Linked DNA regions of Diceros bicornis minor. The protein of the gene in region 2 binds, or shares a complex with, the protein of the main gene of each other region. Links are inferred from orthologs where the notes say so. Each region holds a gene or a part of one and is shown on either strand. Other genes may lie near its edges. The genes, in order: MED31, MED19, MED13 and MED7.

Evidence for each region.
Region 1: MED19 (region 2) and MED31 share a complex: the UniProt entries of both Homo sapiens proteins name them as parts of the mediator complex. The link is inferred for Diceros bicornis minor from reciprocal best matches to the Homo sapiens genes MED19 and MED31.
Region 3: MED19 (region 2) and MED13 share a complex: the UniProt entries of both Homo sapiens proteins name them as parts of the mediator complex. The link is inferred for Diceros bicornis minor from reciprocal best matches to the Homo sapiens genes MED19 and MED13.
Region 4: MED19 (region 2) and MED7 share a complex: the UniProt entries of both Homo sapiens proteins name them as parts of the mediator complex. The link is inferred for Diceros bicornis minor from reciprocal best matches to the Homo sapiens genes MED19 and MED7.

What each region holds. Positions count from the first base shown.
Region 1 is NC_080757.1:13,084,838-13,093,184, reverse strand, and holds the start of MED31 (mediator of RNA polymerase II transcription subunit 31), read left to right. Parts: upstream 1-4,959; 5' UTR 4,960-5,039; coding exon 5,040-5,067; intron 5,068-5,921; coding exon 5,922-5,999; intron 6,000-6,286; coding exon 6,287-6,383; intron 6,384-8,347. Other genes in the region: C18H17orf100 (uncharacterized protein C17orf100 homolog), read right to left, coding at 4,203-4,586. UniProt on the Homo sapiens protein: Component of the Mediator complex, a coactivator involved in the regulated transcription of nearly all RNA polymerase II-dependent genes.
Region 2 is NC_080770.1:16,251,300-16,259,759, reverse strand, and holds the start of MED19 (mediator of RNA polymerase II transcription subunit 19), read right to left. Parts: upstream 3,143-8,460; 5' UTR 3,060-3,142; coding exon 2,792-3,059; intron 1-2,791. Other genes in the region: TMX2 (thioredoxin-related transmembrane protein 2), read left to right, coding at 3,452-3,640, 8,324-8,384. UniProt on the Homo sapiens protein: Component of the Mediator complex, a coactivator involved in the regulated transcription of nearly all RNA polymerase II-dependent genes.
Region 3 is NC_080757.1:27,788,923-27,796,368, forward strand, and holds the start of MED13 (mediator of RNA polymerase II transcription subunit 13), read right to left. Parts: upstream 3,136-7,446; 5' UTR 2,977-3,135; coding exon 2,911-2,976; intron 1,067-2,910; coding exon 832-1,066; intron 1-831. UniProt on the Homo sapiens protein: Component of the Mediator complex, a coactivator involved in the regulated transcription of nearly all RNA polymerase II-dependent genes.
Region 4 is NC_080740.1:73,135,090-73,142,450, forward strand, and holds the start of MED7 (mediator of RNA polymerase II transcription subunit 7), read right to left. Parts: upstream 3,356-7,361; 5' UTR 3,275-3,355; intron 3,212-3,274; exon of another isoform or gene 3,095-3,211; intron 1-3,094. UniProt on the Homo sapiens protein: Component of the Mediator complex, a coactivator involved in the regulated transcription of nearly all RNA polymerase II-dependent genes.

The DNA.
Region 1 (8,347 bases), on a different chromosome or scaffold from region 2:
CTGGCTGGGCTCTTGGTTCTTCCCATGGCTCATGTGATCTGGGGAAAGAGTATTCTATTAATGGCATTCTTCTATTTCAAGTATTTTCAACACAACTGACAGCAAATACATATGCTGAATTTTGTAAGCTGCTCTCAGTTTATATATAAATGAATGGAGTGTGAGGAGAATGACAGGTGCTGACTTGTACTTATTTAGTTTTTCAAACTAACCTGGTTGGCAACAACTGAAGGCAAGTCACAGCTATTAACTAGCTCAATAAATCTACGGGATTAGTAGATGGAGCCGTTAAAGGTTTTCTTGGCTGGGAATGGACGGTCAGCATTGCTCTTAGCGCCTTATTGTACACATACTGGGCCCAGCATTACATACCATGTCACAGACACAAAAGCACCCGTGCTCCTTTGGAGCTTCCAAGAGCGGACAATGTGGGGAGGATGATGACACGCAGCATGGGTAGCACACACTTATAATATGCAGCAGGTACACTAAAAATTATGACAGATATAAGTTTCTTTAACATACAGGATCATTTTAAAGTTGTGGAAACTGATGTAGAAAACAGTATATACAACAAATATCTTGTCACATCCCTTTCCTTCAAGTCTTGTCATTTTTGACACTTTCTTGCTCTGTGTACACCTCTTTGGCTTTCAGCTTTGCAACATGGATAAGGAAATTGGGAGGAAGAAACCTAGGTAAAACTCTTATCAAACAAGTATAACAAAAGGAAAGAAGCCACCAGAATCCTGTATCCTTCCAAGAGACTCAATCATCTAGAAACCAAGTCTTTGGCTTTTTCACAGTAATCTTCCCACCAGTCTTCTAGGTACTACTAACAAGGGGGATAGAAGCAGTTAATGCAGAAAGGTCTGGAAGGATACATACCAGGTTGCTGACATTAACTATTTCCAGAGGATGGAAATGGCAATGATGACAAATTATTAAATTTTTCTTTACACAGCCTTGAATTATTTCATTTGTTACTTAAGCACATATCACTTTTGTAATAAAAACATTAACACGGAACATTGTTGAAGAAAAGTGACTACTTTGTTCATTTAAAAAACACTGATTAAGAGTGTTCATATATAATGCACATGGTCTGCCATGTTAAAAAAAATTAGTAAGCTCACCAAAGACTGAAATTCCAAAGTCTAATTATTAGTCTATAGCAGAAGTTGTATGAGGCAGAAGCATGAGGGCAGACTCGGGGGCTTTACAACATTCCCCTGGCCTGAGCCCCTATTCTACTGGGCAGCCCAGCGCACTCCCCTGTAATTAAATGAAGTAAGTGGGTAACGACTCAGCACAGCGCCTGGCAATAGCAAGTACTCTGCCTCACCATGAGGTCCCTCAGAATCAAGGTCATTCACATTCTGCTAAACGGGACCTCCTTTCGTCCTCCGACAAATATCACATAAACTATTGAAAGCACGAATGTAGGGTCTCCTCAAAAAGCAACACATCCCTCTCCTCTGAGAGCTCCTGCCCTGACATCTGACAGAGGACACTGCTTCTAACCCTCTCCCCTAGCAAACCCTGCTACGAAGTGGGGTGCTTCCCCCAAAGGACCACTCTAACTTTCTAAGTTGCTAGAAACTTCAGGGTTTTTCAGCCTTGGTACTATTGACATTTGGGCCAAATGACTGGGCCAAATGACATTGGGCCAAATGATTCTTTGTTGTCAGAGGTGGGGGTGTGGGGATGACCTGTGCATTTTAAGATGTTTAATGGCATCCCTGGCCTCTACCCATTAGATACCAGTAGTATCCAACCCCCACAGTTGTGACAAAAACATCACCAGACATTGCCAAGTGTTACCTGTGGGGCAAAACTGCCCCCAGTTGAGAACCACTATTACAGATCAATTCAGTGGTTCTTCAGTCATCCCATGAGAACCCAGGACTAGGACTACACATTAATATCCATGCATGCCTCCCTAAAAAAACTCCCCAAAAAACATGAACTTTTAAACCTTTAAGACCTTCTTCCCAGGAGCAAAGTAATGTTGCCTGTGAAAGGCACATTTTCTAAAGCATTTGTCTGACATTTTAGTTCAAACTTTCTCCCTTATTGGTGGCTGCCAAAGGACTATAGGCAAGGCAAAATTAGGTAGGTCAATCCAGGCCCTGTGGGGTGAAACAGAAGGATGAGGGGTTCAGCCAGCTGGTGCTCCCTGAAGAACAAGATCTCAAATTCATTCATAAAATGAGCAAGACAGACCGGCAGATGACTGTCACTCAGTCCCATGGCTTTAAATACCATCTATGTACTGACGACCCCACATTTTACATTTTCAATCCTCACCTCTCTCATGGTAGCCAACCTCTTGCATTCAACCACCACTCAGTGTCTCCACTTGGGTATTTTATAGGCATCCCAAACTCAACATGGCCAAACTGAACTGATTTTCCCTCCTAAACCTGATCTTTCCCTGGTATTTCTCATCCCAGTAAATGGCACTACCATACACCAAACTGCTCAAGTCAAGTCACCCTTGATTCTTCTATTCCTCTTCCCTTCACCTTCGTATCCACCAGTCATGTCAGCCCTGCCTCCAAAACACACCCCTAATCTGCCCTCTCTTCTCTAGCTCCACTTCTTCCACCCTAGTGTGAACCACTTTCCTCTTACTGGACCATGGCATTAGCTTCCTAAGTAGTTCCCATTTCCTCTCTTGTCCGTCCCCTACATCAGGGTTTCTCAACCTCACACTATTGACATTTTGGACTAAGTCTGTTAGTATGTTAGTCCAAACTTAGGCCCCTTTGTTTGGAGGAGGGGAGCTGTCTTGTACACTGTAGAATGTTTAGCATCATCCCTGGTCTCTACACACTAGATGCACCACCCCTGCACAAATTGTGACAACCAAAATGTCTCTAGATATTGCTAAATGTCCCCTAGGGGACAAAATCACCCCCAGTCAAGAACTATCCTATATCCTACACTCAGAAGCCAGGATATTTTAAAAATGTAAATTGCATCATGTTACTCCCCTGCTGAAAACCCTCCAATGTCTTCCCATTGACCTTAGAATAAAATCTACTGTAGCTTACAAGACCCCTATGAATTGGCCCCTGCCTACTTCTCTAACATCTTCCCTTCCATACCATCCTCTCCCTGACTAAGCTCCAGCCACACGGGTCTTTCTGTTCGTTGAACATTCCAAGCTTGCTCCCATCCCCCCTTGGCACTTGCTGTTCCCTCTGCCTAGAATGCAGTCTCCCCAGATCTTTGCATGGCTCACTTTTCATCCATACAAATCTGAGGTCAAATGTTGCCTAATCACCAAGGCCCTCCCTGACCATCTTATCTAAAGAACCCCCTTACCTCCGTTCTCTATCACACTACCCGTTTATTTCCTTCATAGTGCTAATCACAATAGCAAACGGTCTTTTTCTGTCATTTGCTGTCTGCCTCTTCATCAAAGCATAAGCTCTTTGAGGGCCAGGACCCTGTCTCCTGCCTGGTTCACTGCTATAGCCCAAGTGCTAGAATAACACCTGGCACGGAGTGGGTTCTCAATAAATACTCCTTCCCTCCACCTTCTTAAACCTCAGGTCAGGTTTCCCTTCTAAGATTATGCTTGATTGTTGATGTTGTTGTTTACCTTCAATTTTCATTTTTAACTAAATTTGGCCTATGTTAAAAAGTGTGTGGGTGGGGGTACCATATACAAGGGCTTAGCAAAGGAAAATAACCGATTATTGTGAAACATAAACAAAGGCCAATGAATTAATGAATGAATGAAAGTCTGTTCCTTGCCTCTCAGATTTTTAGCAGGCATATAATCATTCCACTGGTCATGATTTCAGTTTGCCCTCTGTCCCTAAGTCTGAAGCAGTGAAGGTCGTCATTCAGGGACTATGAATCCAAAACTCACCTGGCTCAGAGGTTGAAACAGCCTCTTTGTCCATCAACCCACTTTAATACAGTATCATGGGCCTGAAAACTTTTTGTGCTGGCTTCAAGTTAAAATAGTTCACTGGGTGAAAGGCAGTGCGGTCCAAGGTGCAGCATGGTCAATAAGTGCTAGCTGAGTCCCGAAACCGCAGCTTGGCTCTTTCTGACACTGATTCATGGGCTGTTTCTATGACACCAAAGATGACTGGTCCACTTGGCAGCCGGCTGGCTGCACACTGGAGGCAATTCTGTCCTGGCTACGGGCCACGGCCCTTTCGTGGCCTCTGGGAAGTGTTTCATGGGGCCATTTTTACATTCTGGCGGGCAGCCGGCCTGTCCCGCCGGGGCGGGCTCTCCACGCGGTGCAGAGACGTCTCCAACCGCAGGGACGAGGCCCTGACGTGGCGGGAGGACGTTTCCGTGCGCTGCGAGGAGGTCTCCACGTGCTGGGAGGACACCTCGAGGAGGCGCGGGAGCCACTTCCCAGGGGAGGCGGAGGAGGGGGAGGGCCGCTCGCTGTGGCGCAGGGAGGTCTCCACCTGCCGGGAAGACGTCCGCACCTGCCGCGAGGAGGTCTCCACGCGGTGGGACGAGCTCTCCACGCGGACCGTCGATGTCTCCTGGTAGCGGGCGGTCTCCACCCGGGGCGAAGAGGGCTTTCCCCGACCGGGTGCGGCCATTCCGCGAGTGTAACGGGCCCAAGGAGGCCTGAGGCCCCGCAGCCCAGCGGTCCTCAACAGTCACGCCTCTGGGTTACGTCACAGGGTAAGGAATGACATCACAATGACGTGTTACGCCACCGCAGGCACAGGGGTGGACGAGAGGGTCACGACACGAGAACGTGGAGGCACGTGGGCCTGTGGGGCCTGGACTATCCCTTCAAAATCCTGGGCCGGGCCCCTGCGGCACTCCTTCGGCCCCCGCACAGGCCCCTCGCCTTTTTGGAGCCTGCGCGGGCGGGGCCGGGGCGGGCCTGGATGGGCGGAGCCTCCCGCCCCGGCGCGAGACTGTCCCCGCTCCCACATCCCACAGTGCTCCGCGACAGGAAGGGGAGCCGCGGCTTCCGGAACCTGCCGCGCCGCTACGCGGGGTTGCTGTGTCCGGCTGGTGGCGAGTTACCGTGTTAGCTTGTGATGGCCGCGGCTGTCGCTATGGAGACAGGTAAGCGGCGCTGGGAGTCGCGGGTCTTCGCAAATAGGACTGTCGCGGGCCCAGACCCCTCTTCTCGCTTCCCCGGCGGCTCCTTCCAGGCCTGACTCCCGGCAGGGATGGAGTTCGGACCGGGAGGGGGAAGCTGAGAGGTAGTTTGGCCTTTTCTGAGTTGGTTTGTTCGGAGATCCTTTTTCCCCACCTGTTGTTCAAACACCGACCACACTGACTTCCCGGCGTGGGCGAGACTAAGGGAGAGGACTTCGGTCTTAAACCGTTCCTCGATTTGTTTCTGCCTCTCAAATGAGCTTGCAGAAGTTTGAAATATCGTCGACAAAGTTGTGTGTTATTCTGCCACTGACGCTTCTCACATGCGACACACTCCTTGGTCTTGCGTACTCTCCTTTTCAGCTTGCTTTCTAAATGTTTTCCTGATTGATTTAGCATTCACCTAGCTTTGCTTAACTTAATTACTTAACAAGTTGTTGTAATGCATTACTGAAATGGGGGAAGGCACAGTTATTACAACCTACCCCAGTGGTCACTGTTAAAAATCCCTACATAGTGGCTCACAGGTGATAAATATTCTGCCCCGTGTGAGTTCCTATTTTCTTTGATGACGTCTCTTTAACTTGAGAGAAACTTCTCACTTACTCCTTTTAATCAGGGCTTTGCTTTTCTTAGACTTCTAAGGAAGGTTTATCTTCTCCCACACTCAGTGTAGGAAAACCATCACATGCCCTTCTCTATGCAGAAATGAATCTCAGCATTAGTCGTGTTTTTCTTTACTGCTGTTTTCTTTCTACAAATCAATATTATATAGAGTGATCTTTATTTTGGATAATTTTTGCTATCTTTTCTCCTAGATGATGCTGGAAATCGACTTCGGTTTCAGTTGGAGTTGGAATTTGTGCAGTGTTTAGCCAACCCAAATTACCTTAATTGTAAGTTGTTGAGCACCTCTTTGAATTAAGTAGCTATTAATGATTTCTGACAGAAGAGTTGCAATTCATGATAGTAACTACTTTTATACGTTCTCAATTGAACAGAATTAATGCTACACTTGTACTGGTATATATATAATTGAGCAAACTGTGACTTGTGTTTTGAATTCAGTATCTGTTGGTGGTGGGAATGTTATGTAAGTAAATTCTTTATGTTAGGAGTTACAAATCAGTAGTTCAAGGATTGGTTTGCTCTACAGATGTGTTTTTTTTCTTATGCCTTTCAGTTCTTGCCCAAAGAGGTTACTTCAAAGACAAAGCTTTTGTTAATTACCTTAAGTACTTGCTTTACTGGAAAGAACCAGAATATGCCAAGTATCTAAAGTAAGTTTAATTTTATAGTCCTAAATATGTGTATACTTTATTATACTCCAAAACACTGTATTCAACAGACTTCTTAGTTTCACATTGGAAAAAATATATTTTAAATCTCTCCACTTCTTTTAGTTGCCACCACCTTAATACAAGACACATTCATCTCTAACTTGGATTATTGCAGTAATCTACTCATGGGTTATCCCTGCTTCCACTCTTACCCCCCTGCCCCTGCCAAGCCAAACAAAGCAAAATAATTTTCAGAAGCCAACTTAATCTCTTAAAAAAATGTAAATCGCAACATGTCAGTTTCTTGCTTGGCACCTTTCAGTAGCTTCCCATTGCATGTAGAATCAAATACAGTCTCTTTTCTTGAGCTAAAGCCCTGTATATTCTGGCCCTGAACTGTCTGACCTTACCTTGTACCCCATCTCACTGGATTTCTGATCCCAAGGAACCCACAATCTATAAATGCAATGACATAGCCATAGGCTGAAAATTAAAGAACATAGAAAGGGGTACTTCTAAGGAAGGTTTCCGGAGGAGGTAACCTTACCTGAGTCTTAATAGCTGCTGTCTTTTTATAGGACCGCCTATGTGCCAAGCACTGTGCTTATTTAAAAAAAAATATATATATGTATATTTAGCACTTGGGTTGTGCAACAGATGTCATTTTAAGGCTTACTAAATTGAAAGAAGCATATTATAATCACAAACCTATTCCTTTTTAATGGTAAAAAATAAACTTTGAACTCATATTTCTGCTTTGTCTTAACCAGGTAGTTAAAAAGCAATAGTGAAACTTTTTGTCTTTTTTTCCCTAAACAAACAGTAAGTTGGAGAGGAAGATGTTTCAAGTTTGTACTTTATCCAAGTCACTTTTCTAATCTGTGTCTAAGAAAACAACTGATTAACGGAGCCCACATCCTCTTGCTGCCTGCAGGACCCTTTGCACCCTTACTGGCCCTTTATAAACAACCACTTATTCATTTAATAATCCAGAGAAGAGACTTTTTTATTAGATTGCAACATGTTATATGTATGTAGTTTTAGGGGGAAGAGGGAGAATCTCCCTCTGCCCTTTTCCTTAAGGTTCTTATGGCTGGCCAAATAATTAACAAGACAGGTTAGCAGGAGAAAATAATACCAAGTTTAATAACATGTATACATGGGAGAAAGCAGGGACACTGCGTTTCTCAACACAATAGCAGAAATTCTCGTTTTAAATACCATGTTCAGCCAATGACAAAGGAGGATTTTGGGGGTTGGGGGAGTCAGTTACAGGAGATTACCACTAAAGCACAGTAAACAAGAGTAAGGTTATTATGCAGCTTTAAGGCCTCAACTTCCACATTGATAAGCCTCTAGAAATGAGGCCATCCCCCTCTCTTCTCAAAACAGAGAGGGAGATACCTTTACAAATGGAGATTTCCCTTATAAATGTAAATGATTGTCTGGCAACTCCTCGCAGGGTCATCCAGAGAATGTGGCCAGAGAGACAGAACTTCTGATAAGAGGGGCTTGTTGGTGCCTTTCCTATTGTAACCTCCATCCTACATTATCTTTACAGCCATCATGATAGATCTGTTCCAGGAAGGAGCCACCATGTCAAATTCTTTAGGCAGTTAGTGGGGGAGGTCAAATGTCCTCAGAGAAAACAACCAAGGTAAAGAGATAGATTTCAGGGTGGCCAAATCTTGATCTCCCACATAGACCTAGAGACTCAGTGTTGGACGCTAAGTCTAAAGACACCATCAAGATCAGTTTCACCCACACATTGCTGAGATGGTCATCTACACTCTGGCTGGAGGTTTCCAGTGAGCATATATTGCTCTGTTCAGGAACAGCCAATTCTATTGTTAGCTATATGCTAGAAAATTCTTCCTTATATTATAGCTTCAAGCCACATTCCGAGTTTTGTCCCTGAATTAATCCAGAACCAGTCTATGCCCTCTTAAAGCAATGGCCTTGCA
Region 2 (8,460 bases):
GGCCCCTCAATTTCTCTTTTTTACACTCCAAATCTTCCTTACCTCACTCATGGTTTCTCTATTTCAATACGTGGCACCCACATTCTCCAGATATTTTTATTTATTTTAATTAATTAATTAATTAATTTGGTGAGGAAGATTGGCCCTGAGCTAACATCTGTGCCAATCTTCCTTTATTTTGTATGTGGGACACCACCACAGCATGGCTTGACAAGCAGTGCATATGTCCGTGCTCGGGATCCGAGCTCACGAACCACCAGGCCACCGAAGCGGAGTGCGCAAACCTAATCACCATGGCACCGGCCCAGCCCCTGCAGATATCTTTAGAAGCAGTACTCCTCAGTTCAGAAATCTCAATGGTTTCCTATTACCCCCAGGAAAAAGCTCAAATTCCTTTGGCATTTGCGGTAAAATACATCTTACCGTAACTTAGCTTTGGGGCCTGATCAACCACTACTGCCCTGTGCAAAACTGCTGATCCATCCAAATGGGTCTCCACCATCTCCTGAAAAAAACACCCCTCATACTGTTTCCTTTTAGGAAATTTCTTTTAGGAAAATTGACCTAATTATAGGAAACTTCCTCCTAATTTTCTTCACTAATATGAATTCTTCAAGGTCTAGCTCAAGTGACAACTTATTCCTGCTGTTAACTTGGATAACAAGGGACACATTTTGAAGACCATGATGTAGTTCTTAATAGTTGTATGTGAGTCATGACCACAAAGTAATGAGACTGGCCTTGACAAGAAACAGTCACTACTTTATCCTTAGACCACAACTTTGCATCCCTAAGTAAAATAAGCTCCTTAAAAGCAAGGACCGGGCTTATTAATCTCTCTCCCCTTCTCATCACATGTCCCCTTTCCTACACATCCAGCCTTTGCTCAAAACAGATATTCAATATCTGTCAAGTGATTGATATAAAAAGGTACAATCAGAACAGGTAAGGTTAAAGAAACTGCTGGTAGACATCAACCACTAACCAAAGAAAAGTCAACCTCTCTGTGCTTCAGTTTTTTCAACTACAAAATGCAATAACAATGCCTATCTCGAGGGGCTGTTCTAAGTATTAAATACTATGACATATATAACTGCATTGTCAACTTCAAAGTACTGTACCAACATTCATTATTATTTCCCTCAACTCTTGATGTGGCAGTAGGTCATGGGATGAAGTGAAAGGCATCTTGAAGACTTAACATGTATAAGATGACTCTTGATTTCCACCTCCTCAAAGGTGGAAATCTTGTTTCCACCTTCCATCCTTGTTCTTTCCTGGTCTTAGCACTACCATCCACCCAATCATTCAAGCCAAAAATTTCCAAATCATTCTCAATTCCTCTCTCCTTCATTTCTATATGTAGTCCTTCATTCCTGCTCTACCTCTAACATTTATCCTGCATCCACTTACTTCTCTCCTCCACTGCTATTGCCTAGTCCAAGCCATTATCTCTTTGCCTGACTACTAAGCAGTAACTCTCGACTGATTTTCTCACTTTGCTTTCTTAATGTAGCTGCTTGAATGATTAAAAATAAATAAGTTATGGGGCTGGCCCTGTGGTGTAGTGGTTAAGGTCATGCCCTCTGCTTTGGCAGCCCAGGGTTCGCAGGTTCGGATCCCAGACACGGACCTACACGCTGCTCATCAAGTCATGCTGTGGCAGTGTCCCACATATACAACAGAGGAGGACTGGCACAGATGTTAGCTCAGTGACAATCTTCCTTAAGCAGAGAGAGGAAGGTCGGCAACACATGTTAGCTCAGGGCCAATCTTCCTCACCAAAAAAATAAAATAAAATAAAAAATAAGTTAGATCATGTCACTCTCCTGTGTTAAAATGGCTTCCCCCTGAACTTAAAATCTAAATGCCTTACAAGGCCTCTGCCTATTCCTCCCACCTTCATCTCCTATCACTCTTTCTTATGTTCAATTCACTGGAGACCAACTGCTCTTTGGTCCCTCAGATATTCCAAGGTTCTTCTCACATCAGGGCTTCTGATCTCATTTCTTGTATCTAGAATTATCCCTCCCTCCCACTCATAAATGCCTGACTCTTTCTCTGTGTTTACATTTTAGCTCAAATGTAATGTACTCAGAGAGGACTTCTCTAATCATTCTAGCTAAAGTAGTTCTGCCCCCTCAATTTTTTTATCACGTTTTCTCCTTGTAGCAATAACCACTGTCTGATATTATCTTTTTTACTTTTTGCCTCCTTCGCTGACATATAAACTCCAAAAAAGGCAACGATCTTGTGAGTCTTGTTCGCAGCTGTATCTTCAGCATTTAGAACAGTGCTCGGTACACAGTAGGTGCTCAACAAAATAATTTTTTGAATGAAAGAATGTTGTTCAATTCGAATCACTTCTTCAAACAGCTGAGGAAACGCTGAGGCCCTGAGGAGGGCAGCTTGCCCCAAACCGATAGCAAGTTTGTGGCAGACTTGGAACTAAAACCTTACGTCCGCAGGGATGTTAAATCAGGACTCTCGAGTTCCAAACTCGAACCCTGGATAGCTTCTAGGGAGCCATAAACCAGTGTCAGGGACAGGGGCCGGACAGGGCGTGAAAGATGATCACGGGGATGCATTCTTTTCCCATCCCCAATCCATCCCAAGAATTCATGCCATTCCTTTGCTTGTGAATCCTCAGAACCCTTCGGACTTAAGAGCTCCAAAGTCCCAGAACGCGTTGCCTAGGTTACGCCTCACCTCCGCCGGCGGGCTGAGAGCCACGCCCCTCACTTCATCGCTATGATCTGATTGGCTGGTTTCGGCCAGGCCTAGTACTCACCTGGCAATTCCCGCATTAGGTAGAAGGGACCGCAACCCGCCGCTGACTTGTCGGCGCCGGGAGGGGCCGTGGCTGCGGTGGGGGGCGGGGCCGTGCCGGGTCCCCCGCCCGGAGGAGGGGGAGGCGGGGGTGGAGGCTTTCCCGGTCCGAAGCCGAGTGCGGTTGGGGGCGGTGGTGGGTCAGCCTGAGCCCCGAACAGCGCCGTGAAATTCTCCATCTTCCCCTCCGCGCCGGCGGTGTTCGGGTGTCTGGCGTTGGTGATTCTCATTGGACAATCCTTTTACGGGGTACCGCCCCCTTCCTCCAGGAGCCGCTTATCATTGGATTGCCTCGGGCCCCGCCCACTTTCTTCCGGCAACTACTTCCGTCGCTGTTTGAGAACGTTCAGGAAGCGCTGTCTAACCATATTAAATTCTTTCTGATATCTTCGCTTGCCGTAGTCACATGTCCAATAAAATGTCTTGGGGCGGGAGAAAAGCGACAGCTAGATTGACCAATAAAGTATCAGATCCCTCTCTCAGTTCTTACCCACCGTAAAGTCCAATTAGATCTAATTCCGGGTCCAGAGGCGGTGCATCCGAGACCAGGCCCAATGTGGGGAGAGACGGTTACCTGACCAACCGACGCCGAGGAGCTGCGGGCTCCGCAACGGCCGAAAAGATGGCGGTCCTGGCGCCTTTAATTGCTCTGGTGTATTCGGTGCCGCGACTTTCACGATGGCTGGCCCGACCTTACTACCTTCTGTCAGCCCTGCTCTCGGTGGCCTTTCTACTCGTGAGGAAGCTGCCCCCGCTCTGCCACAGTCTCCCCACGCAACGCGAAGACGGCAACCCGTGTGACTTTGACTGGGTGAGCGACCCCCGCCTGAGGACCCCGCGACCTTGACTTCCCTGCCCCCGCGGTTGCATCCGGGGGCCTTGAGGTTCCCCTTTTTGAGAACACCTGAGGTTCCGAGGCTGTAGCGGACTTCCAGACCATTAGCGTGTAGGGTCGGACCGTCATCGCTCTAGACCTCTGCATGTTTAATTAAGATGGGAAAACAGCGGGTTAGTCTGCACAGAAGACAGCCTGGGTCTTCTGACTCTGGAGTCCAGGGTTCTTTCCATCTTACCATTCATAGTTGTCAATAGCCCTACCTAACAAGACCCATGTACAGTGTTTCACAGTGCTGCTCATATGGAGAGCCTATTGAGAGCCAGTGAGGTAAACAAGGCAAATGGTATTTACTTTTTATTGATGAAGAAATTGATCTCAGCGTGGTTTGGCGACTTGCCCAAGGTCACACAACGAGTGAGTGCCTGGGGTTTGAAACCACTCTTCTGGCCATAGTACCTGCACACTCACAGCCATTTCTTAATTCAGTTAACATTTCCAGAGTGCGCGCAGTATGCTAGGCACTGTGCTGCATCCTGAGAATGCAAAAATGAATAAAATTGTTAAGCCTATTGAAAAGGAATTGTAAAAAATATCTTGTAAAGAAATCTATCTCAAGCCTCTTGCTGTACTTCCTGACTAAGAATGGAGGGACCACTCAGAAAAATGAATGGAAGCTCTGTGCCCTCTGGTGTATAGCAGCATCTGTGTTCTGAGGAAGGAAGGTCATCCTGAGTTTTCATCTTGTTTTCCAGCCTCCTCAAATGAGTCTTGACCTTTACTAGAACCTACTCCTTTACTTTTATCCTCCGTCTCTTGTTTACTTTTTAATGCTTTGTCTGTCCTTTCCCAGACAGTATTATCAATTAGCTCAAATGTTGCCATGCTCTTTCAAAAGATCCTATCTTTGTCTGATATTCTATACCACTTTAACCAAAATGGAACTCAAAAATATAAGTGGATAGTAATAAAGATTTTAATAAATGTAGAACCTTTTATACAATTAATTTCTTTGTATACTCGTCTAATAATATGCAAAATATTGGAAGGTTTTATATTTTATTATTACTCTGATAGAATTTTTTTTTTTTAACTACTTCGGGTTTATGGCCAGTGTTTGTTTTCCCGGAAAATACGTGTTTTACTGATTTACCTTGGTGATTGGGAAGTTAGGATGTTAAGGTAAATAATGTTAGCAATAACAGGTAAAATTCAAAATTTCAATGGCTTAACAGAACAAAAGTTTATTTCTATTTTATTAAATAAAAGGAAAGAAGCATTTCACGTTTCTTAGATATACTGTGTTTCAGAGTAATCAAATAATTGATAAGAGAATGTTGATTTCTTAATATAAGAATTTGGGTTAATACAGAAGGAATGATAGAATTTAAAAATTATTTAGTAGCCCCAATGAAATAATAAATCGAGGCAATGATCATCGGTGGATGCTAAAACCATCAGATGAAAGGTTAATGTGTCCTCTGAAGTGATGCAGTGGGGAGTACTTAGCACCACCTATGATACATTTTTGGCAAAAAATTTGGATTTTATTGTATTCAGACCTCTAGATTTCATTAGCACTTTACAAGAAATATGGGAGATGGAGGATCATCATTAGAAAAAAACATACCATGAGTATGAAGGCAGCCAAATCTTAAAAGCAAGAATGTTGACGGTGCAAGTGACTCAATGCCTTCAACAGATAAATGGCTGGGGGGTAAAAAGGAAGGGCAGATATATTAGAGATTAAGGAAGAACAAGGACACACATCAGCCAAATGCAGTACGTGGATCTTGCTTGCTTGTTCCTGATTTGAACAAACAACTGTAGAAAGACAACTTGAGATAATTGGGATCATTTGAATAATGACCAAATATTAGATGACAGTAAGGAATTATTGTTAATTGTGTAAGGTATGATAATGGGATTTTGGTTTGTTAAAAAAAGTCCTTATCTGTAAGAGATACACACTGAAGTATTTATAGGTGAAATGATATCGCTGGAATTTGCTTTAAGTTTCCCCAGCAAAAAAAGTGGGTAGCATAGATGAAATAGAACCATTTTGGCAAAATGTTACTGTTGAAGCTGAGTAATAGGGGTTCATTAAAGTATTGTGAGGAGGAAAATTAATTTTCCCTCTACCCTTCTGAGGGCTTGGCTGAAACCCCTGTAATAAAAGACAGACTAGATAATTAAAAGACAAATAGAAGTTTATTAACATGTATGTCTCATGTATACATGGGAGATACCAGGGGAAAAGGAGTAACTCAAAGGGGTGGCTTAGAACTCCACTTATACAGCGTCTTCAGCAAAGAATGATAAATTTGTCAAGAAATGGCTGGACAAAGGAAAGCAGTTTTAGGCTTCCAAGGGCGACAGACTGTGGGAAAGTAAACTAATGGTAGGTAAAGGCTAGTTTGCTAGGTAGATTGCTCTGGCGCTGTCTCCAGGCTGATAGGGTCTAAAGTTACCTCCCTTGATTAACTTTTGTCCTTCCTGGTAGAGAGGGTTGGAGGGATACCTTTGAAAATTTATGTCCTGCTTTTAGACAAATGGGGAGAGTAGGCAGCTTTTCTTTTATCTACTTCTCAATTGCCTTCAGGCTCAAAATAATCCTTATGCCAAAGTGACATATTTTGGGGTGGCATATTCTGTTACTCTTCAGTATCCTCTCTATCCTTTTGTATGTGTTTGAAATTTTCTATAACAAAAAGTTTCAAAACAATGAATGAACAAGCAGAACAACCAAGGGACCTCTGCTTCACACAGTTATTCTGGAACCCAGTCTCATTCTGTCTTCAACCTATGGCCTTCCTAGCATCATCCAGCCAGCGGATGCTGAAAGAAAGCTGGAATGCAAGGATACACCCTTTCTTAACTGCCTAGGCGCAGTGGCACATCACTTCCACTCACATTCTGTCCAGGAGTACTAGTCATACAGTTCTGCCTAGATGCAAGGAGACTGAGAGTCTAGTTGCAATATGCCCAAGAGGCAAAGGAAATAAGGTTTGGAGTATACATAGCCAGTCTTTGCCATAGACCCATTCTCTATCTTTAGAGAATATTCCTTTTAGTCTTATCTTTGGTCTTCTGATTGACCACAGCTCCCTTTTAAAATTCATCTTTCCACAATTGTAAATCCCAATTCTAAACCAATTTCATTCATGGAAACTCTTCTTCATTTTTGCTGAGGTATAATATTTAGTAAGGTCTGTCATCTTCCTTAACCCCCACTTTACATGTCCATTTCTAAATCTAGTCAGTTACTTTTTGTTGGAGATTGAGGCTAAAAACCTAGGTCCCTGACTCCTTCCTGTAAATTGCTGTTGACCGGTTCTGTCTGCAGTAATGATTTGGGTCCCTGTATTACAAACAAAAGGTATGGAGGCTTTGGACCATCAAATCTATAGTTGCTCCTCCTCCCATGTTTTTTCTCACATGGTTTTTGCTATTCTTCATTGTGGTCTTTACTCTGAAATTGTCTTGTTTGTTTCTTTGTCATGTTTATTGTCTGTCTCACTTGCTCATAATGGAGCTTACATTCTAGAAGGTGAGAAAGAACTATAAGCCAAGGGTACTGAGAAGGGCCTTTGAGAGCTCTGAAAGCCCTCCTTCAGTTCTCTAATTAAATTAAAGGTGCATGGATTATCACGAGGATTATTAGGTGGAAAGGAATGACTTAAGTTAAGCAAAACCAAACAAATTGAATAACCGTATATTGTATTAATGGAATATTACTGAGAAAATTCCCTGGAAAAGTTTTATTTTTCCAGGATCACACTGAGTTGGTTGTAATATCTTACAGTTTTACACCATATACTTTATACAATTCTTTCATACCAGTTATCTCATTTAATCCTCACAAGAGCAATTTGAAAAAGATCTTGTTCAGTCAAGGAAACCAAAGTCAGAGGTTAAGTGATTTACTGAAAGGCACCAGCCAGTTTGTGGTGGGGTAGAACCTGAACCTAGATCTGACTGGTGTTTTCCCATTATACCTTAGCTGACTCCAGTTATTTCTTTATTGTTGCTGTAACCATGGGCCCACTAGGACCAGTTCGAACTGACCCCTTCTTATCAACAGAGGAGTGATTAAGAGTTATTTTTCAGAGGCAGTGTGCAAAAAAAAGTTGCAAGTCACGTAGCCAGAGCACGTGCAGAGGAGAAAATCTTGACCTGAAATGACACCAGAACCAAAGATTCTCCCCCACCACGGAACCAAAGGACTAGGACATGACCGGAACTTGCAAGTCGGACTCTTATCAGAAGCGAGGAGTCCGTTGTCTAGGAAGATCCAATGATAAAGCCCCTTCCACACCTTACCGTAAATGTTTAAAGCCCTCCGATTGAAACATGCCCCGCCAGTGTTTCCACATACCAGCCTGTTCTCCCTAACCTCCTGTGTTTCACCCCAAACCCTGAATGAGGAAGACAAATTTGAGAGCTTTGCCTCCTGTCTCCTTGCTGGTTGACCTTGCAGTAAAACCTTTTCTTTTCTCAAAAGCTGGTGGTGTAATTATTGGCTTTTTTATGTGCATTGTGCAGTAACATTACCATTCCCAGTTTGGATCTCTGTTGGTTTTTATCCCATATTTGCCTTCCTTGCCCACCCAAATCATCTCTATTCATGGCTTTCCTGTCACTTTGATTCTGTTCCAGAGAGAAGTAGAGATCTTGATGTTTCTCAGTGCCATTGTGATGATGAAGAACCGCAGATCCAGTAAGTTTAGCCTGCTTCTTAGTCTCTCAAGGTTAGGCCTAATGCCTCTGCAAGTGCTTTCATTCATGTTATGAGA
Region 3 (7,446 bases), on a different chromosome or scaffold from region 2:
TACATTCCTATCATTAAAGATTCAGTTAACGTTGACTCCTACAGCCTAAAGTAAACACAAACTTCAGTAATTACATGAAGAGCTATAGTTTCTCTTTCCAAAGTAACATTTGGTTCCTAAAAGTCAAGAAAATAAGATGGAAGTAATCTTAGTCATCTGCTCATAATAAAATTACTTCTGTGTAACTTTTTAGATTACGACCCCCGTGTCCTATAAAAGCTAAACAAGTTGGCAGTCATCTCATGTTAATGATAGTCTTTGATAGAACAGCATCTAAAATAAAAGAATCACTTTCCAAGAATAACAAAATTAACATATGCCTTCATATGTTAATAAAATAACAACCACAAATAACTAACAAAAATAACTACATGCCTTGAAAAAACACATGAGAAAATTACAATACATTTCTAGATACTCCTACAATTGTCTGCATACTTGTACAGAAGAGAGCAGTGGCAGAAATGACTCAAAGGTGAATTACACTTGGCTTCAAAAGTATTATACGACTGCGTTAGGAACTTGATGCTCCCCGATTTCATTTTCCTTAGGTTAATGTAACATGCCTTCCTTGGGCCCTAACTGCAAGAAATTCATGAGGAAGGTGGGTGGTGGAAGAATAAAGTTATTCAAGGCTTAAAAAGTCTGCCATAATATGGATAATTTAAGTAAAATAAATAACCACAGCGAAACAAAACATGAAGCTGACTTTTTATCTGGCTTCATACCTACGAGTGTTCCTCCAAAAACATCTTAATTTGTAATACAAATGATTTTTGGGTAACGTATACAACATTGCTATATCATTAATTAGAAATAAGTTGCTTTCACCTGATAAGTCATGGTGAATAAGGTCAGCAAAATTGGGGTCTTCACCCCACCAAAATATCCACAATTCTCTTCTTCCAGGTCTTTGATCTCGCCGCCAAACACCAAGTACATCTGCCTTAAGGCAGCGACTAAAACTGCTCAAAATGGGGTCTTCCTCAGTCACCGCAAACAGAATAGGGGCAGAAGTTGGGCCTTGCCATACATATCTTTTCCATTTAATTCCTGTCAAGTCAGCCTGAAGGAAAGAAAGCATGATTTTTTTATTATTGCACATTCACTCAAAAAAGTCAACACTACTCACTCTTAAAATTCCTTATTTCATTAAGACATTACAATTTTTCAATATGTGCTTAAGATATTGAAAACAGATTGACTAATTTAAAAAATGCTTATTAATTCTGATAATTTAACAACCAAAAATTTTAGGAAAACAAAACAGTTAAAAAATTAACACTGACGTGTCACTGAATAGCAAGTCAATAAATGTGTCCCAAGGAGAAATAAAAAAAACTTAAAAATTTAAATATAAACGTGTACTTGAATACTGCACACACAGAAGACATTTCCTCTCTGTCCTAAATTCTGTTCTAATTGGTCACACTTAATCCTTGGTGTCAAATTTGTAACACAAAACTAATTTTTAAAGATATGATTCCATGTCTATAGAAGTCATGGCTCTAATGAAAAGAAATCTGAACTATAACGGAAAAAATTCTTGTTAACTCTCCACATATCACTTTTAGGAAACGTCAAATAGGTGTTCACAAAGAACTGTCAGATTTGTGCTAGTCTATCTTCAAAGAACCTGATCCCAAAAGTGCCAAAAATAGACTTGAGTCGGAGAACACAGAAATGTAAAACCCGCTGTATGTCTTATTACATCTGAAGAGATGTTGATTAATGGACATCGTACAGAAAACATCTTATAGGGAAAAAGGGAATTAAAGATCTCAACTTAGCATCATGAAAGAAATTAGACAGAGGGAATTCACTAATTCTTTAATCTAACTTAAACAAGGTGCAAAGCATAAGGTGCCAAAAATGAAACTGCTGATACATGACTGGCAGTTTACACTTGCCAACTAGTTGTGCTCCGCCCACTCAATTCACTTACCTATCACACACTCTTGTCAGTATTTCTCATAGCACAGAGAAAATGAAAAAAGAAAGTCACCGAACTTTAAATCATTGATGAAGCTAAGCTACTGTCCAACTGAGGACTAAGTATTTGCAACAGTTGGTACTTCTGAAAGTCTTAACAACTGGATCTTCCCAGACCTGGGCCAACCTACACAACTGTCATCTCCATAGCCAGCTTCCCCAGACTTTTCAATAAAAGGAGGAGCGTCCTGCTCAAAACATTCTAAAAACGCAAGCAAAACAGACAAATATAGCAATATCTAGTGCAAAACCATAGCACCTCCTCCATTAGTCCGCTCCACTCTCACACAAACATAATGTTCTAATAAAAGCAAGATGGCCAGAAATTGTCAAAATGGCAAACTGTTTTCAAAGTTTAAAGAGAAAACATATGAAATGGCATCTACTGGTTTTTACACAGAGGTCTGAAGTCATCCAAGAAAGAAACCAACCCTCTGTTTGATTCATATAAAAAAAAAAAAAGTAAAACGAAAAGAGGTTTTAGTGCATAAGTTCCGGGGTCCTGTTTATTGGGGGAACCCAAATTACCAAAGTGGGGCAGAAAGGCAGTGGGAGAACGGGTAATAATAGAAAGTGTGAAGAAGGGATACAAAGTCAACAAGGAGAAAAGCAACAGTTAAGCACGAAACAGAAGGAAATGTTAGCGTCCTGCCAGATAAGAAGCCCAAGTTGAAGACAAGACTATGGTGAGAAAAAAAAGAGTCAGAAACAAGACAAGAAAAAAAGCCAACACCGCTAAAACAGAGCCCAGGGCAGAGGGCGAGCGAACGCGCCTCCCGGGGCCGGTGCGGAGCTCCCGCGGCGCCGGCTCGGGCCGGGCCTAGCCCGGGGACTCGGGATCTGGATCCGACCCGGCCCCCTCCCCCACGGCCCCAGGGCGCACCTCGCAGCCCCCTCCCCCACGGCCCCGGCACTCACCAGGCAGAAGAGGTTACAGTGACAATCTTCCAGGCTGGCCCCGTTCGGCACGAAGGAGGAACTCATCGTCCCTCACAGCAGCCGCCGCCGGCGCCACAACCCACCATCCGCCATTACCGCCGCCTCCGACCAGAGAGAGAAACACAGACACCGGGGAGGGCGGGGGGGTGGTGGTTGGGGGGGCGGTGGAAGAGGAGGCCGCCGGGCCGCCCGCCCTCCCCACCCACCCCCCCGCCGCCGCAAGCAGCCCCCGCCGCCCGGCACCCAGCCGCCCGGGGCCGAGGGCCGGAGGCGGGAGGGCCACGCCGCGCTCGCCCCGTGGGCCGGACTGCGGCCGCCGCGGAGCCCGCGGACGCTCGTCCCTCTCTGGGGGACAGAGGGGACGTGTGCCCCTTCCACAAGTAAAATAATAAATTACACAATAAATAATTAAAATCAAGTCCGAAAGGGCAGAACCCAAGCTCTGGAGGGTTCTCCTGGGGCGGGAGGCGCCCGCAGAGGGGCGGGAAGGGCGAGAAGCCGGAGAGAAGCCCAGGCCCCCGGCGCGGCAGCGGCGATGTCCTTAAGCCCAGAGTCTCCTCAGTGGCGGAGGTGGTGGCGGCGTCTGCGGGCTCAGACCATTCTCGGGCTGTCTTCGTGTTGTCCCTGGGCCAAGCTGGCCTAACGTCTGCGCTCCTGCGGCCTCACCGCCCGGACGCCGTAGTCTCCCCCATTTTGTGGGCCCAGCGGGCGGTGTTTTTACCCCTTTAATCCGAATTCACGGGTTTTCCCTTCGCTTTAATGGCGGCCACAGGGACCAGCTCGCCCTCTCTGCTCGCCCATTGGCCGCCTTGAGGTCACGTGGGCCCGGGCTCCGTGGGGAGGGGAAGAGAGAAGGGAGTGAGGGAGGGCCGGGAAGCTTTCGGCAGAGGCGGTGAGCCTCGGGGACGGGGCAGCCCGCTGGTGGCTGCTAAGATAGCGCCATCTGCTGGGTGCTCCGGCCAGTGTAAGACGATCGGGGCCTTGGCCCTAACTTTCTCCTTGCCGGGGAATTTACAGTACAAGAGGGTTCACATCACAAATCGGAGAATTACGTGGAAATCAGCTTGAATTCTTTGGAAGAGAAAATGTTGCAAAAATTCCACGGCATTCTCATTTATTCCACGAGGCCGCTGAGGTACAGCGCAAACCCCTGGGCCTGGGACGATCTGAGATAGGACTCAGCCACTTAAAAGTTGTGATATTAAGAAAGAAACATAAAGGAAACAATATAACCTTGTGGTCAATAGCCTGGGAGTTAGAGCCACACTACCTGAGTTCAAAACTTGAGCTAGTCACTTACCTCTTTGAGTCTCAGTTTCCTCATCTATAAAATGGGGAAAACATACCCCCTCCTCATAGTGTTGTTGTGATAATTGAGTTAATACAAATAAAGCACATAGCCCAGTGCCTGCCACAGATAAGCATTGTTAAGAGTTATCTATTACTGTGTCATCATTTACCTCACGTGGTTATCGTGAAGAGTAAGTGAACCAGTGCATGTAAAGTGCTCACTGGAGTGTAATCTCCGTTGGAACCGGGACTTTGCTTCGTTTACCTCTGTATCTCTAGTGCCTAAAAAAGGTTCCTAGCACACAGTAGGCGCTTGATATTTGTAAATTTGCAAATGAATGAGTGGTAAGAAGTAGGAACCAAATACATAAAATGTTAGTTCCCTGCTCCATAAAACACTCAGTTCTTGACTGGATTACACTTCAATGCAGGAGTTCAAACATTTTCCCTGGGAGTTTTAGAAAGGAGAGAAGGAAAAAGACAGAGAGAAGGGAAGGGAGGGAGGGAGGGAGGAAGGGAAAAGGAAGGAAGGGAGGACGGAAGGAAAGAAGGAAGGAAGGAAAGAAGGAAGGAAGAAAAGAAAAACTAAAAGTGATTCAAAAGTTAGAAATAATGAGTTAGGACTTACCATAATTTTAAATCATAATTGCCTCTGTAAAATAAATGGTGGACTCTTCCATGTCACTTCTTCAGCCGTGGAATGAAAAGCATTCCTCATCCATCCGAGATCTTGAAGCCAAAAGCCTGTAAAAAAAGTTCTGCCACTTACTGGTTGATCTTGGATCCAATTTGATTTTAGATCAAATTAATTTCTCTTACTCTCAGTTTTCTCATTGTAAAACGGGGGTAATAAAAGTACTTTTCTCATATAGTGCCTGGAAAATGAAACAGTGTAGGTATAGGGCTTGCCATAGTGCTTACTAAATGTTAGCTATTAATAAACTTTTAAAAATCGTTATTGAGCACCTGCGTGCTCAACTAAGTGTGTTCCTGGTCTGTGCTAGGCCTGGGATACAAATACGGATAAGACACCGGCCTGTCCTTCAAGGTTCCTGAAGAGAGGCAATAAAGGAACTATTTCCCACAGAATAAGATAAAATACAATGGAAGTAATTGCTTGAATAAGGTATGTATCAACTATGGCACAATGGAAGTGCAGGACAAGGAGCACCAAAGTCAGAGAATGTGTCTTAAAGTAGGTAGCACTTGAAATCAGATTTGAAGGATAAAATGAATTCTTATAAAGCCCTTTGAAGCAGTTAAATCTTATTAAACCTAATTCAGATCCAAAGGCCACATATCAAAGTCAATTATACAACCAGGACTAATTCAATTCAGGAGCTCAAATCAACTAAGGTCCACATCCTTTCTAACTGAGTGCCAGCACCAGGAGACAGCAATCCCCAGACCCAATAAGGTAAGAGCCCCTCTGCTCATCTCTCTTTCCCTGAAAGAATCCTCAGACCTTTGTGCCCACTACTTTTGTCACTCTGATATGTACTCTATCTACCACCTCTTATTTTATCCAAAATGTAGCCATCCTCTTTAGAAGTCTTGCCGTCCATTACCCTGCCCCCAACTTGAGCACCTGTCTCAGGACTCCAGAGACAGATAGAATCTGCCAGAAAACCACGAAGAGCAGAGTAACATTTGATTGACCTTTCATTTGAATGTCAATCTTCTCAAAAAGAAGGGAGAGATAGGAGACAAGAAGGGAGGAAGACCCAGAGGAAAAAGTCTGAGAAAGGATCACGGAAAGGAGCAGGACAGAGGGAGACAGAGGGAGAGGGAGGGGGGGAGAGAGAGAGAGAGAGACGAAAAAGCAGAAGAGAGATTGAGAGAGAGAATGGAGAAGTGCAAGTGGAGAAGAGGGACACCAACTGTGAGGGGAATGGAAACATCATGGGGAGAAAAACAAAGAGCAATATCAGCACACACAGAACATGTCAGTAACCAACTACATTCTCTTAAAATGACATTTTGTGTGATTTAAAGAGTAATGGAAATAAATAAAAAACTGTATATGCACATTGTCAAAAGTTTGGAAGATATGGAAAAGTATAAAGATGAAAAATAAAATACATAATCAAAAAATGCCCATAACATTACCACTCATAATTAACCATGTTTTAACATTTTAATGTATTTTCTTCCAGACTTTTCCATATATATATATATTTTTCTACATGGTTGAAGTCATACTACATATACATTTTACTACACATGCTTACTGACCATCTAGTATGTGTCACGTCATATATGCACAAAGCACAGGATATATGAGGAGCTCCTTGTCTTGCTAGATATGGCACTTGGACAGTTGGACCAGCTGGGGTCAAAACTCCACACCACGCCTGCTAGCTCCCTAACTTCCATTTACTCATTTGTAAAATGTGTATGTAATAATAGCACCTAAATGTTAGAGTTGTTGTGACAATTAAGAGATGATCCAAGTAAATAAGAGAGCCAATCAGGAATGTTAAAGTGAATCTTAGATGTTGCCTTGGGTCAATAATCACCTATTGTCTTCAACATTTTGAAATGTGGATTCGCTCAATGATCTACATTTAAAACTGTTTCTTTAACTCCTTCAGCCTTTTAAGGGCGCCATTCTGAAAGGGATAGTGGAGGCACCTGGCATCCAGAAAGGGTGACAGAGTTACATCACTTGAGACAGAGCAAGTCCAGGAAAGGGCGATGTCTAACCTTAGAACTAAGGCTCCCCACCTGATTCTGAAAAATCCCAGGATCTAGAACAGCACTGTCTAGTAGAAATAACTAAATTTTTTTCAGTAGCCACATTAAAAAAGATAAAAAGAAATAGGTGAAAATATTTTTAATTATATATTATATTTATCCCAATGTAACAGAAATATTATTTCACATGTAGTCAATATAAAAAATTATTGAGATAGTTTGCTTTTTTTTTTTTACCAAACCTTTAAAATCTGTGTGTATTTTCACATATAGCACGTTTCAATTTGGACTAGTCATATTTCAAGTGCCCAAAAGCTACATGTGGCTAGTAGCTACTGTGTCGGATAATACAAGTCTAGAATCTAAAGCTGAAAGCTAAGGACAAATTAAGCTGTGGAGTAAGTGGTCTTGAGCCCGGGGACAATATTGATTTTCCAAAGGTCATGTTAATGGTTTAATGTTGTACTTAATTCAATAGGAAAAAAAAAAAGGCCGAGGAGTTACAAACCATTTTATTTAGTGAATGCA
Region 4 (7,361 bases), on a different chromosome or scaffold from region 2:
TTCATTCCTTCAAATATTTATTGTTTGTCTAATATATGACAATGAGTATCCAGGGATGATGATCAGGATGATAGATGATATTTAAGTCCATACTATGTGCCAGACTGTTCTAAATACTTTTTTCATGGTTGTGAGACATCTGAGAAAAGAAAGGTACTCTTTCCATTTTAGAGATAAGACAACTGTGGCTCAGAAGGGTTGAGCTGCTTACGTAAAGTCACAAAGTAGTAGAGGAAGGATCCAGAACCTAAAGATCTCAAACACTATACTATCTTTCAAAGACAAACAAGAAACAGTGCCTCCATCCTAGTACTGCTTACAATCTATCAAGGAAAACAGACAAGAAATAACTAACTACAAGGCTACTACAAAAGACCAACAGATCTAACTACCAAAAATAAATTTAAAAGTTCCATACAGGAAAATATCATAAGCAGAATTAAAAGATAATCCATTTTCCTGGGAGAAAAATGCTTGCAAGCTAACAAAGGGCAAATACTAAAAATTTTATTTTGATTTTTTAAAAATGCATTGCCTGACTCCACCTCCACTAGAAGAAAAGGACTATGACTCCAGGAAGTGCCTATCTTGTTCCCAACTCTAATCCAGCACCTCAAACAATGCCTAGAAGGTGCTAGATCCTCAATAAAGGTCCACTGAATGAGTTTTTTTAAAAAAAAATCTACATTAAAAAAATAGACAAAAGATGACGAGGAAAATACAAATGCTGAATAAAAGCTAGAAAATATTCAGACTAATACCTTTTTCTTTATTGGTGAGGAAGATTAATCCTGAGCTAACTAACATCTGTTGCCACCTCCTCTTTTTGCTGAGGAAGATTGGCCCTGGGCTAACATCCATGCCCATCTTCCTCTACTTTATATGTAGGATGCCGCCACACCATAGCTTGATAAGCAGTGCATAGGTCCGCACCCGGGATCCAAATCTGTGAACCCTGGGCTGCAGAAGAGGAGTGTGTGAACTTAACCACTACGCCACCGGGCCGGCCCCCAGACTAATACACTTTTAAAAGCAAATTTTAAAAAGAATACTTTTGGGCCGGCCCCGTGGCGTAGCGGTTAAGTGCACGTGCTCCACTGCTGGTGGCCTGGGTTCCAATCCTGGACATGCACCGAGGCACTGCTTGTCAACCCATGCTGTGGCAGCATCCCATATAAAGTGGAGGAAGATTGGCAGAGATGTTACCCCAGGACCAGTCTTCCTCAGCAAAAAGAGGAGGATTGGCATGGATGTTAGCTCAGGGCTGATCTTCCTCACAAAAAAAAAAAAAAAAAAAGAATACTTTTCATTTATCAGACTATCAAGACTTCAAATATTCCATCATTCAACAAATACTAGAACACCTTCCATGTGGCAAGCCCCAGATTCCCGCAGAGGTCACATTCTCCTTCCTCTCAGTTTCTTCAGAGTGGTCATCTCAATCTCAGAAGCAGGCTCTTAGCTATTCTGGCCCTGCAGGGAAGTCGCCTCTGGTGGAGAGCATCCATTCCCTTCAGCTCTCACAGAAGCCACCATCACCACCACCACACAATACTCTTAGGTGGTAGATCAGTACCACCTAAGAGAATCTGAGGAAGTCTCATATACAACTGAGAGGAAAGGAAACAAATATATATTTGGAATTTAATTTGGCAGTATCAAAATTTTAAATGCTGATATTCTTTGAACCAATAATTCTATCCCGAAAAATTTATCCTATAGAAACATTGGTACAAGTACACAAAAATGTGTATAAGGATGTTTAATGCAGCCCTGTTTGAAAAAAGAGCAGGAAACGTTAGAAATAACTCATGATTTCATCAATATGAGGGCTGGACAAAATACATCTACATAATACAACACAGCCATTAAGGTAAAAGGGGTGCAAGTACATGGGGTGGGGTGGGAGGTTATAAACACTGTGTACTGTTTCATTTACTTACAACACACTTATGATAGTTGCAAACAGTCATAATCAACTTTTTAAAACTTTTTAACATAAATTCAGACTTACAGAAAAGTTGTATCAACAGTACAAAGAAACTTCCATATTCTTCACCCAGATTCTCCAAATATTAACATTTTCCCCTCATTTGCCTTACTGGTCTCTCATCTCTTTACCCTCAAATACTTCAGTGCGTATCCCCAAAACAATGTTCTCTTATAAGCACATAATTACCAAAATCAGAGAATTAGCATTGACCTGGTACTTCAAAACAAATTTTAGACAGCCCAGGTTTCACCCCACTCAAGCCTTTTTAGGTTGGGAGTCGTTTTGTGCTTCCCAGCACCACGTGCATTCCTCTAATTAAGTTGCCATTTTCCAAAGGTCAACTACGTGACAGGTACCATTGTTTTATATCCTCTCTTACTTACTCTTCATAACAAGTCTATGAGTTAAGTGGTATCATCAATTTCATTTTAAAGATGAGGATGCCAAGTCTCAATGAGGGGAAGTGCTTGCACCAGGGATCAAAACGCCAGTAAGTGGCACAGCGGGAATTTTTATCCTTGGTCCTTTGAGCTGCACAGTACAAGCTCCCTTAAACCAGCAGACTATGAAGCCTCTTAACTGCACAAAAGGAACCTGACATACTACAGAAATTATGTTTATTTTTCTATCACTTGTTTTGATTGAATTTTTCAAAGGCGATGGAGGTGTTCAGTAAAACCATCAAAGCCGGTTATCAGACTCAAGATCCACCTTCTAGTGTTTGTTCCATTCTGGGGGGTTTAACCAAAAAAGAAAGGTATCCTGGGGTCCCATCCCCAGACATTTGATTCATTTTGTCTACTGTGAATGAGGCCTCTGGAATGTAGTTTTTAAACCTCTGCAGATGAATCTGACGTTAGGCTTGAGATCTACCTCCTCTCCCGCCCCCCATTAATTCAGCGGATTTCACGATCGCTCCCTGGAGAAGAAGGGCAAGGAGGGTTATTCTCATTTTACAAACGCCGGAGAGGCCGAATGACTCGCCAAGGCCACACAGCCTAGCAAACCAGCGGCGCAGGACTAGAACCCAGGTCTCCCACCCTCCAGTCTGGCCCGGCCTCCCCACAGGGAGGAAGCCGGAGCCCGCCGCCCTGAAGGCACCTTCCGCCAGGCTGTCCACCCGGGGCTCCTCGAGCGGCGGGAAAGCCGCGCTCTCCGACAGACAAAGAGAAGAAAGAAAGCGAGCACTCCCCCCACTCCCAGCCCGCCCTGAGGAAGCCGCGGGGTCCGGAAGAAGAAACGCACGCAAAACAGAGCCCCAACCCGTCGCCGCCCACTCACCTCAGTGCTGGGTATAGTCTAGCAGCCGCTTTCGCCACCGCAGCCGAGATCCGACTTCCGGTCTCCTCCTCCAGGAAGAAGCCACCGACACTGCCCCTTGATTGGCTGAAAGAGCTTTCCTTTAACCGAAGCTCTAGTCCCGCCTCAGACCCATGGCTCGCTATTGCGCCTGCGCGTATCTCTTTCCTACGGCCCACCCCAGCAATTCTGCGGTGGGGTCGGTGGTTGGGTTTGCAGCTGGGGAGGGTTTCTATCAGTAAAAGGAGCAGGTGATATCTCCGTTCTTTCTTTTTTTAACGCTTGAAATGAAACAAGGCAGCCATATGCCTTACATAAAAGTTAGAAAATACAGGTAAGCGGATATTTTAAAAAATTATATCGACTCTAACCCCACTGTCAAAAATAACATTTAAAGAAATGAGATGGACTCTATATGCTGTTTATATATTTTTTCAGTCTGGAAATATTTGTGAACATGATTGGAGATCAGTAATAGTCTCAATTTCCATTTCCTCACCGTCCATTCACTTTTATTTTCACTTAGGAATTCAGCCATGTCTATTATATTTCCAGGCAATAAATTAACAAATTTAAAAACAAAATCAAACTTAAAGGTTTCCTTTGGACGTTACTTTCATAAGTGTCACAAATTTCTAAATTCGTGGGAATCTTACAAGAGCATGTTGCACACAGAAAATAAGGTTGTTATTTTGATAAAAGTTCTCAACCTAACCTCTTTAAAATAAAATTCTTTGACTTAGTTTTTTAAAAACTTATTATGGAGAGTTCCAAATATTTACAAAAGTAGAGAGAACAGTGTACTCATCACCCAACTTGAACAATTATCTACGTATAGACATTATTTCATTTCAGCATGCATCTCTAAAAGATAAGGACTTTCTTTTTTTCACATAACCACAGAACTATTGTCTCATTTAAAAATAAATTAATAATTATGTTACTGCCCAAGGGGGGTCGTCTGCTCAACGCAAGGCATGACAGTAGTAGAGAGGAAAGGTGGTAGGAGAGAAAGAGTTTTATTATAGCTTGCTAGCGAGGGGGAAGATAGCTGACTAAAAAGAACCAACAGAACCAAGACTACAGGCCAGTTTATAGGCGGTTGGTCTCCGCATGGTTGGAGGGATTCGGTCTTAGTTCCTGGAAATCTTTTGTTTTACTGGATATGCATCAGAGACTGGAGCAACACCTTATACCCTGGTTTAATTTGAAGATAATAAGACCAAAATCTTTAATATGTATAGTAAAGATTACTGTTTACGTGAGTGGTGCCAACAATTTAATACCATCAAAATCAAGTCAGTATTTGGATACCAATTGTCTCAGGATCCAAATGAAGTACACTCATTTGTGACTGACTGATGTGTCTTTTAATTACCTTTTAATCTATAGGTTCCTTCACTCATCTCAATTTTCCCCCTACATCAATTTATTTGTTGGAGAAATCTATTTACTTTTGAGCATACTCCAATCAGGCTTTTCTCCTCGCCGCTGAGACCACTGTGACCTACAGCTGTGACCTCCAGAGGTCATTCTTAGTCCACTTTTTACTGCATGCTCAGCAGCTTTTGGCACATTTGATTATTTGAATTGCCCCACGACGCAGTTCTCACTTATTAGTGGGATATCATCCAGGTGATAATATCCAGGTGATTCCAGGCCCTGGCAACACCCTCTGCTTTGCACTCAGACCCTTTATCCAACAGTATTGTACATCTTTACTCATGCAAGTGCACTTCACTCAATTGCAAAGGCTCAAGTCTAAAGATTCATCTTTTACCATTCTTTCTTCCATGCTCCTTCAAATATACTATCCCAGCCTTTTGTATCAGTTCTATTTAGAAATAAGTAAAAGTCCCAAATATGACTAATTTTCACCATCTCTGCTGCTATGGTCCTAGTCCATGCCACCATTATCTCCCCTGGACCTCTGAAATAGCCTCCTAGCTGGTTTCTTTGCTTCTCTTCTGTCCTCACTTCGCCTGTTTATCACACTCTTAAAATATAAGACAGATCTGACCACTCCTTTATTCAAAATTCTCCAAGGTTTTCTGTCACATTTACGATAAAATCTAATGTCTCACCATGGCGTATATAAGGCCCTACAAAATCGAGTCCTTGGCTACTTCTCCAATAACATTTCCTATGATTTTTTCCCGTGCTCACTCTTCTCCAGCTGTAGGCTTTCCAACCATACTCCTACCTCAGAGCCACTGCATTTGCCTGGAACTCTCTTTCCACAGATATTCATATGCCTCACTTCCTCACTTTATTCAGGTCTCTGGTCAAATGTGACTTTCTCAGAGAAGTCTTCCCTGGTCACTATAAAATAGCATGCCCCCAACCATTCTCTTGGGGGATGCCCCCAGTCCCCTTACTATGCATTATCCTTCTTTCATTGAACTTATCATCATCTGATATCATATTATGTAGTAGATTTATTTATTTATTTTTATTGTCTTTCTTCCTCATCAAAATACAAGGTTTGTGAGTGTGGGGCCTTTGTTTCATTTGCTGCTGCATTCTCAGCACCTAGAACAGTGCCTGAAATTGGCAAGTACTCAAGGAATAGTTATTGAATAAGTAACAAAATGAATATAATCATCATTTTCAAATGAATTCACAGTATGACATTGATGGATAGACCACAATCTATTTAGCCAAAGCCCCATTGTGTAAAATTATCTTCTTCCCAATTTTTGCTATTGTTAATACTCTGGATGAGCATCCTAGTGCATATGTTTGTGCATGTGTCCAATTTTTTTCCTTGAGGTAAATTTCTAGAAATGGAATTACTTGACCCAAAGGTGCGGGGTCTTACCGTTAGTGGCAGGATCAAGGCTAGAATTAGAACATTTGACTCTCAGTCTAGTGTTCTTTACAGTAAACTACACATGAATAATGATATGAAATGTATATCATGAGAGGGGCTAGTGAGAATATGGCATACAATAAACATTTGTTTAGGTGGCATTTTCCAGAATCTGAATGGAAAGTTTATTCCTTAAAGATGCTTTCTGTAGCTTAACAAGGAATACAGCCATTCAACAAATCTTTATTGTGCATCTACTGTGGCAAGCACTGTTCTAGAAGGTAAAAAAGACAGACAGAAGCTTTGCCTTCTAATGGAGAGACACAGACAACAACGTGCCAACAAATAAGAATTTCAGATAATGATAAGGGCTATAGGGGAAAAAATAATACAAAATAATGTGGTAGCTATGTGAGTTGGGGGGTAGCTACTTTATAGAAGATGATCAGGGTAGCCTCTCCCAGAAGGTGACTTTGGAGCTAAAACATAAGTGATGAGAAGAAGTCAACTGTGCAGACATCTGGGAGACGGCAAGTGCAAAGAGCCTGAGACAGGAAGGGAGTCTGTGTGCTCTCTAACGAATGAGCAAAGGGAGAGTGGGTGGAGGTGAGGAGCAGAAACTGGCAGGGGTGTATGGTAACTGGCATCTTGCCTGTTTTAGGAGCTTGGCACATTATAAACATCATCATTATTTATCGTTTGATCCTAAGTGGCAAGCAGAAATACTCACACATTTTCTCCACTCTGTTGGTTTTTTAAGGTTAGGTTTATTGAGGTGTAATTTACATCCAGTAAAATTAACTTTAGGTGTAGAGTTCGATGAGTTTTGATGAATATATACTGTCATATAACCACTACCACCAGAATTAGGATATAGAATATTTCCATAACCCCAAGCAATTTCTTTTGTTCCCCTCTTGTACTCAATCACTGTCCGTCGCCCCCAGCCCCAGTAACCACTGATCTGATTTCTGTTCATATGGTTTTGCCTTTTCCAGAATGTCATATAAATGGAATAATGCAGTATATAGACTTTTGTCTCTGGCTTCTTTCACTTAGCATAAAACTTCTGAGGTCCATCAGTGTTGTTGCATGTATCAATAGTTTGTTCCTTTTTTATAGGTGAGGAGTATGCCATTATACAGATGTACCGTAATTCATTTATTCATTCACCAGTTGATGGACATTTGGGTTATTTTCAGTCCTATAAATATTCATATATGTCTTTGTATGGACATATGTTTTCATTTCTTTTGA